Caenorhabditis elegans: one gene and its partners. The protein of the gene in region 4 purifies or fractionates together with the protein of the main gene of each other region. This does not show direct contact. Each region holds a gene or a part of one and is shown on either strand. Other genes may lie near its edges.

The links.
Region 1: the proteins of rpl-35A (region 4) and rpl-26 fractionate together in Caenorhabditis elegans (co-fractionation; one large-scale study listed by BioGRID). This does not show direct contact.
Region 2: the proteins of rpl-35A (region 4) and rpl-14 fractionate together in Caenorhabditis elegans (co-fractionation; one large-scale study listed by BioGRID). This does not show direct contact.
Region 3: the proteins of rpl-35A (region 4) and asg-1 fractionate together in Caenorhabditis elegans (co-fractionation; one large-scale study listed by BioGRID). This does not show direct contact.

What each region holds. Positions count from the first base shown.
Region 1 is NC_003280.10:8,600,878-8,604,081, forward strand, and holds rpl-26 (Large ribosomal subunit protein uL24), read left to right. Parts: upstream 1-1,909; 5' UTR 1,910-1,915; coding exon 1,916-2,064; intron 2,065-2,093; exon of another isoform or gene 2,094-2,226; intron 2,227-2,237; coding exon 2,238-2,394; coding exon of another isoform or gene 2,395-2,409; exon of another isoform or gene 2,410-2,547; coding exon 2,548-2,670; 3' UTR 2,671-2,704; downstream 2,705-3,204. Other genes in the region: cpf-1 (Cleavage stimulation factor 50 kDa subunit), read right to left, coding at 47-503, 704-826, 878-1,174, 1,254-1,419, 1,484-1,533; suf-1 (Suppressor of forked domain-containing protein), read left to right, coding at 2,984-3,076, 3,128-3,204.
Region 2 is NC_003279.8:9,687,443-9,690,581, forward strand, and holds rpl-14 (Large ribosomal subunit protein eL14), read left to right. Parts: upstream 1-1,754; 5' UTR 1,755-1,759; coding exon 1,760-1,864; intron 1,865-2,210; coding exon 2,211-2,405; intron 2,406-2,496; coding exon 2,497-2,604; 3' UTR 2,605-2,639; downstream 2,640-3,139. Other genes in the region: ikb-1 (Death domain-containing protein), read left to right, coding at 9-278, 326-671, 717-1,150; nssp-7 (Activin_recp domain-containing protein), read right to left, coding at 2,688-2,948, 2,996-3,115.
Region 3 is NC_003279.8:8,691,365-8,693,968, forward strand, and holds asg-1 (putative ATP synthase subunit g 1, mitochondrial), read left to right. Parts: upstream 1-1,581; 5' UTR 1,582-1,583; coding exon 1,584-1,808; intron 1,809-1,855; coding exon 1,856-2,026; 3' UTR 2,027-2,104; downstream 2,105-2,604. Other genes in the region: mrps-15 (Small ribosomal subunit protein uS15m), read right to left, coding at 1-146, 199-363, 410-480, 528-747, 793-881, 932-995, 1,047-1,127; K07A12.5 (Pre-mRNA-splicing factor SYF2), read right to left, coding at 2,129-2,291, 2,338-2,604. UniProt on the Caenorhabditis elegans protein: Mitochondrial membrane ATP synthase (F(1)F(0) ATP synthase or Complex V) produces ATP from ADP in the presence of a proton gradient across the membrane which is generated by electron transport complexes of the respiratory chain.
Region 4 is NC_003280.10:7,103,970-7,106,816, reverse strand, and holds rpl-35A (Large ribosomal subunit protein eL33), read right to left. Parts: upstream 1,255-2,847; 5' UTR 1,249-1,254; coding exon 1,199-1,248; intron 975-1,198; coding exon 812-974; intron 768-811; coding exon 630-767; intron 584-629; coding exon 560-583; 3' UTR 501-559; downstream 1-500. Other genes in the region: F10E7.9 (Amino acid permease/ SLC12A domain-containing protein), read left to right, coding at 1-172, 216-326; farl-11 (DUF3402 domain-containing protein), read left to right, coding at 1,816-1,846, 1,887-2,065, 2,108-2,254, 2,299-2,448, 2,495-2,674, 2,724-2,847.

The DNA of each region.
Region 1 (3,204 bases), 1.5 Mb from region 4:
GAAACACTCTTCGACGCGTTATTAACGAAAACAGTTAAGAACTAACCGTAATCTTCATTGTGGTTAAATGAAGCGTTTGTGGCAAAATCCTGTGCTCCAGTAGCTCCTGCTCCCGTATAGACAATCAAACACCGATTAGTACTCAGTTCCCATAGTTTCACAATACTATCCATTCCACTTGTTAATATGTATTTTCCATTCTTTGTAAATTTGGCTGAGCAGATTGATGAACCATCGTGAGCTCTTTTGAATGTCTCTACACATCTGTTTGACACACCATCCCATATCTTTACGTGCCCATCCTTTGAAGCCGTTACATAGAGCCGTGCATTTTCAGAATAATGAACATCTGTTACAGATTCAGTATGTTGATCATCTGGATTCGCTGAAGCATATGCCTGAGCTGTTTCAATGTTGTAGAGACGAACAGTAGGATGATCCGTTGCAACAAGAAGAAATTCACCACCTGGGTGACACGAGAGTGCACGCACTGGGTATACTTCCTGTAATTTATTTTTAATATTTATGCTTCAGTTATTTATATTGTTATGATATCAATAATTTTTAGGAATTTCTCGAAATTCGTATATTCTTTTAAATAATTTCCAAATAAACTTTATCTTTTACTTTGTATGTACTTATTCTCAACATTGTGGCTTTATAAACTTCTAAGAAATGTTTTCTTCCAAATCAGAGAACTTACCGACAACGTTTTCATCGCCTTTTTAACAGCAGTTTTTGAGAAATCAAATAACTTCACAGTCTTATCATTCGATCCGGAGATAAGAATTGAGTCTCTTGGATGGAAGATCACAGTATTAACGTCCTAAAAATGCAACTTAGATATTATGAACGTTTTTTTTTTCGAAAAACTAACATCAACATGATCATACAGAGTTCTTATCACCGGATGGTGCGCATCTGGACCATTTTCGTTCATTTCTCTGTGCTCTTTCTCGCGGGCAAGAATTCTCTCAACATCCATAATTTTGATCGAGCAATCTGCTGAACCTGTTGCCACTAAGGAACCATCCGAATTGAACGCTGCTGCTCTACAAGGAGCTTTGTGAACCGTCAAGTAGATGGTCTCATACTCCGATGGCTCGGAAGAAACTGGCTGCACATCAGCGTCGTATTCGAGATCCAAGCCCGAAGAGACGGGTTCGAATTGCATCTTTAAAATACAAAATTATTAGATAGTTTCAGGCATTTTGTGACGTTTTTGTGACCAAATCGTAAAAAATGAAACTTACCGGCGAGGATTTTTCTTCGGCTTTGTAATCTGGATCCTCTACAAATTGCTTTGCAATTGTGACCAGTCTGAACAATTTATCTGAAGGCGGCGGAGCTGGAGCAGAACATCCCAAAGTATTTGCGAGGTTGACGGCAATTTGTTGATGACCATCGTAGAAAAGCTGCCTGAAATAAGTTTTTGAAAGTATGAACTTTTTTAGTTTTGCTTGTTTAGCGCGAGATAACTTACCCAATAATCAGCCGATACATGTATTCACGATCTTTGATATCTGGCTTCATTATTAAAGTATGTTTCCTTGAATAAATATTCGAAAATCCTCAAAGCGCAATAAATTCCTTGCAAAATTTAAACTTATATTAAAGGCGCATGCCGTTTCCCCTGCGGTGGGTCTCGCAGCGATCTCCCCTCAAATCGTAGTCGGCTGCCTCAAACTAAATTTTCCTCGACGTTTTTCTCACTGGCCTAAATTTTTTTAGGAATTTTGTCGGTATTTTTTATTTTCAAGCATGTAATTGTCTCTAACATTAATGAGTTTTCAACCTGCATGTGTGCTCTCCTTGTAATTCGAGAATATTTTTTATTCTCGAATTTGAATTATACTTTCTACCACCGTAATTTTATTATTGTTACATAATATAATATTTATTTTTTCAGGTAATAATGAAGGTCAATCCGTTCGTCTCCAGCGATTCCGGAAAGAGCCGCAAGGCCCACTTCAACGCTCCATCCCACGAGCGCAGACGCATCATGTCTGCCCCACTCACCAAGGAGCTCCGCACCAAGCACGGAATCCGTGCTATTCCAATCAGGTTGGTTTTTTTAAATAGAAAAACTTTACTGTTTCCATTAAGTAGTCCCGTACGTTGAAATTTTCACGTACGGTTTGGACAATATGGAGAAATGAATGTTACTCTTTTTGCAATGACGCTGAAACATATTTTCGCTTTGTTAGCCATAAGTTTAAAACAATTTTTGATTTCAGAACCGATGATGAGGTCGTCGTTATGCGCGGACGCCATAAGGGAAACACTGGACGTGTCCTCAGATGCTACCGTAAGAAGTTCGTTATCCACATCGACAAGATCACCCGCGAGAAGGCTAACGGATCCACTGTGCACATCGGAATCCACCCTTCGAAGGTGAGGTTTGTATAAACTAGTTCCGGTGCACATCGACTCATCACAACTGTCAGGTTTGTGAGTTCCATGATTCTTAATGTTGCATTCGGACTAGGAAAAGTTTATTATATTTTGAAGTGACCGAGTTCGTTCTTTAACCCAAATTATGTTCAGGTCGCTATCACCAAGCTGAAGCTCGATAAGGATCGTCGTGCCCTCGTTGAGCGCAAGGCTGCCGGACGTTCCCGCGTCACTGGAATCCTCAAGGGAAAGCACACTGACGAGACCGTCAACTAAATTGTTATTAATTACAAATAAATTGTTGATTCTTTTCCATTTGTTTTGGCTTCGATTCATTTTCAAAGAAAATATTTTAATGCTATCTGGAAATTCCAGTAATAAGTAAACAAGAGTAATAGTACAGAAAAAGCTATTTAAAGGGTCTTCTATCCATTTGAGAAAATGTATCTGATGTTTTGGCGAGTTTCCTCATTTTCCACTTTCGGTCTGCATTGCGCGTCAAATTTGATGCACTGTGTTTGCACAATTTCACATTCTATGAAATTATCCTTGATTTGAACAAGATAGTATTGCTATTTATTTTCAGAAGATGTCTGGGTTGAGCATGCGTAACCCAGAGCGTCGGATTGAAACAAATCCATTCGACGTAGACGCGTGGAATTTACTGCTCCGAGAACATCAGGTAGACATTTGACAACAAATTGAATCGACGTCTATTCCGTTCATTTTTCAGTCACGACCGATTGACCAAGAACGAGATTTTTACGAAAGTCTTGTAAAACAATTTCCTAACTCCGGACGGTACTGGAA
Region 2 (3,139 bases), on a different chromosome or scaffold from region 4:
CTTCTCAGGCTCTACATTATCTTGGAGATGCATACAATGAATCAATTTTCAAAGAAATATTAGAACCATCTAGAGGTCAACGGTTTGATGTGAATCAGCTGAATTCGGAGGGATTTGCACCGATTCACGTGGCAGTAAGAAGGTTGAAGCTGTCGTTGATTGAGATGCTCATTGAAGCGGGAGCATTGATTGATTTTTTGGATACTGAAAAGAAAAGAAATGCGTTGATGCACGCAATTGAAATGAATGATTTTGAGACTATTCAGCTTTTGGTTGAGGTAACTGTACATAGAAAAACATTGTTTTAAATTTAATATTTTTTCAGAGAGGATCAGGAACAAATATAGAAGATGAATCTGGAGAGACTGCATTGAGCTTGGCTGTAAAAAACGTTAACTATCCAGTGATTGGCCTTCTTTTAGATAATGGAGCTGATCCGAATAGACAAAATTCTAAAGGAATATGCTTGGCAGATAGTGAAGATAGTGTTATTCAAAACATTATAAATGGAGATAGACCCGAACTACCCAAGAAAGAAGCTTTTGGTGTTCCTAATGATTTAGCTATTTCTAGATCTCCCTTATTTGGGAGATCTCATCCAGATCAGGCTCCAGGTGAAGAGAGTGGGCGGCACAGAGTTGTGAAGAGATCTAGAGAAGAAATATTAAATGGTATGTTTTCTGAAAGATTTTTTGAAATTAGATCCGTTTTTGTAGACGCTCAAACTCTTCTCGCTGAAACTGACTCCATGGCTCCACGTGTTTCGAGAATATCCACATCTGAATCTGAAGATGAGCAACAGCCGGGACCCTCAACATCGTCGGGAACACGAAGGCGTCGAAGTGAATGGGATCGGAATCCGAAGCTTAGTGATTCGGTCTGCAATTTAGATTATTTGACCCGAATTCGCGTTGCAAAAATATTTGATGATCAGTGCAAATGGCAAAGATTGGCACAACAACTCAATTGTGATCACATGGTGGAACTTATTTCTATTTGCTCATCGGGAGACGATTCAAGCCCGACTATGATTCTTTTGGACCAATTTGAACAACTTGAAGACTCATCAATTTCCCGATTGCGCGATGCTATGAATCAAATGGCAGAAGATGATGCAGTTAAATTAATTGATTCCCGTTATGTTTACTGAATATCGCAGAATTGTTTTTATTTATTTTGTTTTCAGTAATAAAACTTTACCATGCATCCTGTATTAATTTACAAAATGCAATTTATATCGAAAAACTGGACTAAGTTGCTTTTTCCTAAAATATGAACACGACTTTTTTGAAAATTCACCGGTTTAATGAAATTCATACAGGTTCAGTACAAATACATACATTAATCACTGAAATTACATAAGAGCAAACAATTGAGCAAAGTTCCCCTTCCTACAATGAAAAAGATGAGATAAACTGCGCCGCAGTTGCGTTGGGTGCGCCGCATACTTGCACGTGTCCCGCCCCATGTGGGTCTCGCCACGAAATTGTCACCGTAGCCTATGGCTGTCTTACTCATTTTGCGATTTTTTTCCCAAATTTTCTTCTTTTTCAGCAAATTTTTGATATTTTTCGGTTGTTTCTGTGATAAAAACGATATAAGAAAAATTCAGAACCAGTTTGTCTATCGATTAATACTAAAATCATAAGTTTTTGCTCAAAATATATCGTTTTAGCTGGTGAAGTCAATTTTTTCGGTGTTTCTTCACTTCTCAATGTACGCGTTATAATTTTGATTTATTATTTAATTTTCAGTAAACATGGTCTTCAACCGTGTCGTTCAAATTGGGCGCGTCGTCTTCATCGCCTCCGGCAAAGACCAAGGCAAGCTTGCTGCCATCGTCAACGTTATCGACGGAAACAGAGTAAGTCATTTATTAATTAAGAAAAAAAAATGTATAGCAGATTTATTGAATTTTACTTAAACTTTTTAAAACGTTTAGATTATCAATGCGATCAGAAATGTTTGTAAAATGCAAAAATCGGAAAGCATAGCTCTGAATCATTAAATAGTGAAATCATCACTGAAATATGCTCGTTAAAGTGATTTACTGAACAATTAGTAATTAGATTGTTAATTTATGATTAATCACAACTTCCCTTTTGAAATTGTTTCGAATATAATCGATATAAATTTAGCTGAGCGTTTGTTTTAAGCAAACACGTAGCCCCAAGAAAACATAAATACAGGCTTCTAATTGTTATTTTCAGGTTCAAATCGATGGACCATCCTCCGATGTCACTCGCACCGTCAGAAACTTGAAGGATCTTCAGCTCACCAAGTTCGTCCTCAAGCTCCGTGTTGGACAACGCACCAAGGGAGTTAAGGCAGCTTTCGATGCCGCCAAGGTCACCGAGAACTTCCAGAAGACTCAATGGGCCAAGAAGATCGCTCAAAGAGCTATCGTAAGTCACTATTTCCGATATTTTTAAAGTTAGCTTGGTTTTTGTATTAAAATTAGCATTTTCGGCTCACTTTAACCATTTTTACTTGCAGAGAGCCAAGCTCACCGACTTCGAGAGATACAAGCTCATGAAGGCCAAGCAGATGAGAAACAGAATCGTCCGAGTGGAGCTCGCCAAACTGAAGAAGGCCCAAAAGTAAAACGTTGTTTTGTTTTTAATGAAATGTTGTTTAAAAAATTGTTCGAAATTTATAGCTTGGCGAGTTTATTACTAAAATTGACTTCAACAAAACATAATAAGCAATGTGATGAAAAGTGCGATAGAAGTGAAAAGCGGAGTGGTTGATCCGTGGTTTGAGAAGTTTCCAGAGCTGCAACAGATTTCTTCCTCTTTTCCTTGAGTGTCGGTTCTGGTGAAGCAGTCATTTCCGTGGTCCTTGCATTCACCAGCATGCTCGCATCGGCCCGAAATGAACGGAAGATTAGTTCCTACGCTGCTTCCGGTGACCTTCACACAATATTCTGCTTTCGAATGGCATCTTGGCTGAAGCAATGCAAAATCTTATCAATACAAATAGCAGTTGAACTCACGTTTCGCTCAGCCTTCGGAATCGGTTGTCCTTGTGGGACTCTGTAGTGAGTACACTGAATGATAGCCATAGAAACGGGCACCAGTAATAAAAGAATGACAGGTGGGTGTAGAAACCGCATCTGAAAATAGTTAAAATGTAAGAA
Region 3 (2,604 bases), on a different chromosome or scaffold from region 4:
TCCAATTCATTATTCAATGCTTTCCTCTTCTCTTGTGTCTCTCTTTTATGCTCTTCAACTTCTTTATCGTACTTTTCGTGCAATTCTTCCAATCGCTTCTCTTTTTCATTTTCAACTCTCAACTTTAATTGTGCTTCGGCCCATGCCTGAAATTTGTTGTTTTTTTAGTGTTTAAAGTTATCAATTTGCAAACTTTACCTTTCTAGTTTTCACATGAGCTGGCTGTTTCGGTACATGATACGAAATTTTCAGAGCGGCAATTGTTTTCTCGAATGCAGTCTCATTACGTTCACGTAAAATACGAAGAGCTTTACGGCGTTCATTGATTACGAGCCAGATTCGATGGGTGAGCCATGTTGGCTTCTGCAATAAATGTTAGAAATATTGCCTTTTTAAAATGTTAAACTACTTTTTTGGTTTCCTGTCCAATGTCATTAACAAGAAGAGACCAATGCCGAATTAAAGCCGTTAGCCAGGCAACTGAAATTAATTTTAGATAATATTTTGTGATTATTTCTCAAACAAACTTTTCATTTCCAAACTATTTTCATCGAGAGAATGCTGCCTTACTGATTTGATAAGACTTTGTTTCCATTCTTGTGACAACTCTTTTCTCGTCGCCATTTCAACACTAAAAATCTTTTTGACAGACTCTGGAGCATTCGAAAGAACATCTAAATCTTCATATTTCGCACGAGTTTTCGATTTTTCAATACGAGGCAATCCGAATTCGGTTTTTTCGAGAATCTGCAAGAATATTGCTTATATCTATAAAACTCTTGATTATCATACCAAATTATCAGCTGCTTTCAAACCCAAATCGCGTTCACTGCCAATTTTTTCGTAGTAAAGCTTCGTAAGTGCATCGATGTAGTTTTGATCTGAAAATCACTTAATAGAGATATATATCTCGGTACTTGAATATACTCACCCAGTGGCAGTTCTCTCGCTTTTTTCTCAAAGTAATCCGGATCTTGCTTGGCTGGGTCGGTGACCTGAAAATGATATATCAAATTGTGGCTAGTTTTGTTTTTTTTTCCACCCACTTTTTGATGAACGTTGTAGAACGCTGTTCTTCCTCGTTCCAGCCGACACGATGTGTGCACAAATCTTCGAAGATTTATCATCTGAAAGTATTATAGAAAATTGAACAAAAATACCGTTCAAAACTGACTTAATATTAATTAATCTAATCATTCATGAAAATTAAAACAAAAAAAATTTCCACGGCGCCTTGGAACTCAATGAGATACGGTTTGTAAAAGTCCGCAAACACCGTGCCGCTCAACTGCGGACAGCCTCGCTGAATTAAAAAAACCAAGGATTTCTTTCTCGATTGCTTAAAGGGTCCCACCACGATTCAAATATACTACTGTCTTGATTAAAACGGGCTGCTTGTATTTTGGGGGATTTTTTTAATGAATGAGCACTCATGGGCAACATTATTCCCTTTCTATTAAGTTTCATTTAAGGAACAAATAAATTTTAATGATCTATTCAATAATTGATTCCCTCGTCTCCCAATTTTATTGCCTTATTAATTTCGAAACACATTCTCTCATTCACACTCGAAATTTTCAGCGATGGCGACCCACAAGCTGAGCTTCTTCGAAAAGTTGGCCAACACCTTTGGAGCTCTTTACCGTCATCAAGCTCAGCAGTTCCCACGCCGTCTCGCTATTCTCAAGGCTGTTGGAAAGCACGAGCTGGCTCCACCCCGGTCTGCTGACATCCCAGCTATCAAGGCGGACTGGGCTAAGCTCCAGAAGTTTATTGAGACCAAGCAATATGTCAACCTTAGTATCAAGGTAATTTGTTACACGCTGAAACAACACTCAATAAAAAATAACTTCAGGAAAGTCTCGTCTACTCGGCAGTTGCCCTCGAGGTAGTCTTTTGGTTCTTTGTCGGAGAAATGATTGGACGTCGCTACATTTTCGGGTACATTGTTCCAGCCAATTATGTCTCGAAGGATACAAAGGCTAAGGTTGCCGAAAAGAAGAGACTCGCTGCCCTCGAAGCTTAATACATCGATAAGCATATTCATTTGTGAAAATATGTGTTTTTTCTTCAACGTTTGTTAGATAAAAGAAATTAAGGCTTTATTTTTCTAGTTCAATACAAAAAATTACAATCCACTAGTTTCTTCTCCAGCCTCTCGAGTGTAATCCTTCCGATCTTCCTCAAAAGTTTCAAGTGCCTTATTTTTCACTGCATACTGTCTTTTCAGAGATCGGCCTTTGAAAACATGAGAAGTGATTGTTGGAGCAAAAATGATTTGATTCGGAGCGCTAAAAATAAAACTCGTTAGAGAAAAATCAGTTTCGAAATTCTTACTCGGTCGCATCATCCTGGCTTATTGAACTTGTAGAGAGGGTTTTATCTACAGATACTTGTTTCTTGTTGAATTCAATAGTACCGTGCAAGGTATTCATGAAAACAGCATTTCTTTCACAACTCTTCTTGTATCTCGCATTAATTGATGCCAAGGACTCGGACATGATGGTGTTTGCTGTGTTGCTAGGTGGTTCTGTTATTCCAGCATGTTTAACTTTCCCCCCAGCAGTCATTGTCTCAATCAACTTTTCAGCAGTAACCGTGTAC
Region 4 (2,847 bases):
CTGGTTTGCTGTAGCTCATTTTGTCGCTCTCATCGCGTTGTATTGGTACATTGGAAGAGTCTGCCCAACTTGTGGTCCGGGAATTTCAACTTTCTCGTTATGTCACATGTTCAAAACAGTGTTTTCTTCATTAGATTCTTTGCGATCAGGTGCCACAACAATTTTGCCAGAGGTGAGAACGAATTTTTGAACCAGGATTAGTTTCTTTTTTTCAGACAACATTTACGAGCGGCGTATCGAGTTCCCAACAAAACGAGGCCAATCCAGATTATCAAGACAGACGACAATATCATCACTCGGAGAATGTTTCTCATCAATTAGATTAATCTTATTAACAATAGAAACTATAATTCATCCTTAAAACCTTAAATCGCTCCAATTTTGTTAATAAAAACTTTAGAAAATATACGTTTCCAGAAGAGAAAGTTTCACAATAAACTTACAATTATATGAATTAATGTTTTCAATAGAATGTGATTTTGCACAATTTAAAACGTACATTCAAAGTCACAACTGTTTATTACAACTGCGAACAATAACAATAACAGAAGATCACCACTTAGATGTTGGATGGGTAGAGAAGCTGAAAGAAATCAATGTGCAATTGAATAAAACTAGAATTATCTTACCACGCGGATTCTCTTTCCGAGGGCACTTGGTGGGATGTTGTGATGGAACTTGGCTCTAACGGCTCCGGCGTTTCCGTGTGGGCGAGTGATCTTTCCCCAGATAGCACGGGTACGGGTGGCGACGGTGTGTCCGGTTTTCTAAAATGAAAAAAAAATTAAACTGAAAAATATATGTGCGATACCAAAGTCTTGTTGTGGGCCTTGTACAAGTAGACGACGCGCTTTCCGGCGTAGAAACCAGCATCTTCCTTGTTGAAGACTCCCTCAAGCTTCAAAAGCGAGGTGTGCTCGGATTGGGTGCGAAGTCCTCTCTTGAATCCGGTGAAGATGGCTTTGACGTAAAGACTGAAAATTAATTTATTATTATTTTGTTGATGTCCTGATTTGTGAATTGCTGATCCGAGAAAATGGAAAAAAATGCCGCGGATTAGATAAGACTAGAAATAGTTAGGATAATGCTACTATACATTTTTTAAAGACTATATGAAGAATTTGCAGTCTGAATATTTTTCAGCAGAGCTCAAAAATATCCAGCGGTCACTGATTAAAAAAAAAAAGCAAAAACATACCGTCCAGTAGTTGGGGCCGATGGTCTTCTAGCAACAGCGGTGTCAGCCATTTTTACCTGAAACGAAAATTAATTTAGTGAAGAAGTTTAAAGTGGACGGAGAAACGAAATAGCGACGAAATAACAAATGAACATTTTTCAGATAACTGTTTTAACAATTTTTATGAGACTGGAGAATAATTGCGAAGAATAAGTAAGTTGAAACTTTTTACAAAAAATCGAGATTTAACGAAGTCCTAAAATCAAAAAGTGGTTTTTCGTAAATGATCCAAGTAAGAGAACAGCGGGGAATAAGATAAACATGATAATATTGATTTTATTACAAAAATATCCATTTTCTGCTCAAAAAATTCGTAGGCCAGCATGAAAATTGGTAAAAGAAAAGAAAAAATTCCGTAAAACGAGTCGAGGCGCAAAATAACTACGGTAGAAATGCCTGCACATCTAAACGTTAAAGCGGAGTGTCGTAGTGCGTGTTGTTTAGCAAATTGCAAAAAATATTGTTTTGTTTTTGCTTTCCTGTTTTTTTATATAATAGTTTCTTACGGAATTTGCTTGCGCTTGACAATTGAATAAAATACTCATTTTTAGTTCTACTGAACGAGAAAGCCGAATGTAATGGGAATCAGGCCTAATTTTGCAGAAGACGGTGAGAAAATGAATATATCATCAAATAAACCTCCTAATAGTTCCAGTTTATGGTGACAAAGAAAGGCGAAGTGCTGATGATGAACATGTTGAATACTCCGAAAGCTCACTGGCCGCAAGACGATCAGCAAATGTTTTGAAATTGAAGCAACTGAAAGAAGCTCAGCCTATGATAACTCCAGCGTATGGCGGATTCATTCATCATGAAAGCTCTGATAATGTAATTTTCATGAAGAAGTTGAAAAACAATACAGTTTTGCAGGTTGCCGCCATTGATAAAGATCTAGATTTCGAGTATGGTGACGGTGATGCAGGAATTCGTGAAATGGCAGAACTTTACAGTTATTCTGAAATAGAAGAGTTCGGTATTAACATCAGCAACTGGAAGGAATATATAGAGGAATCATATGCAAGCGATTTTACAACAGGAAAATAGTTATTTTTCTTTTACAGGACGGCAAGCACGAACAGTTTCCATCGACATTCGAAGAATTTAGTGCTGTCCAAAAAAATTATGTTATTCAAGACCTTTGCTCTCGAATGGAAAGTGCAGATTTGGAAGTTCGTTTGAAATCAGCTCGTATAATTCTCTTTCTGCTCCAGGTTTGTCTCTCATTTGTTATTCGATATATATTTATTTAAATTTCAGGGATCAGCAACAGACTTTGGATGTTTAGAAAATGAGGAAATTGAATATCAGTATGATCAAAAATTGTTGATGAATGTCCCTATTCGAAAAACCAAAGAAATGGACCCTGAGGGCCCTTCAATGGTCTACCATCGTGCAATCGAGAATTCTTTCATTTGTTATAAGAACGGCGTTTACCAGGTATATCTTTATAATTTTCAATCATTGTTTTAAAAATGTACATTTTCAGGCGTTGTGTACTCTGTTGATGACAGAAATTAAAGAACCATTTGAGAGCCCACCGAACGACGGGAGAATTTCAAAAGCAAGCTCAAGAAGTAGCAGGAATGCCAGTTTAGCCGATCTCTCGGATT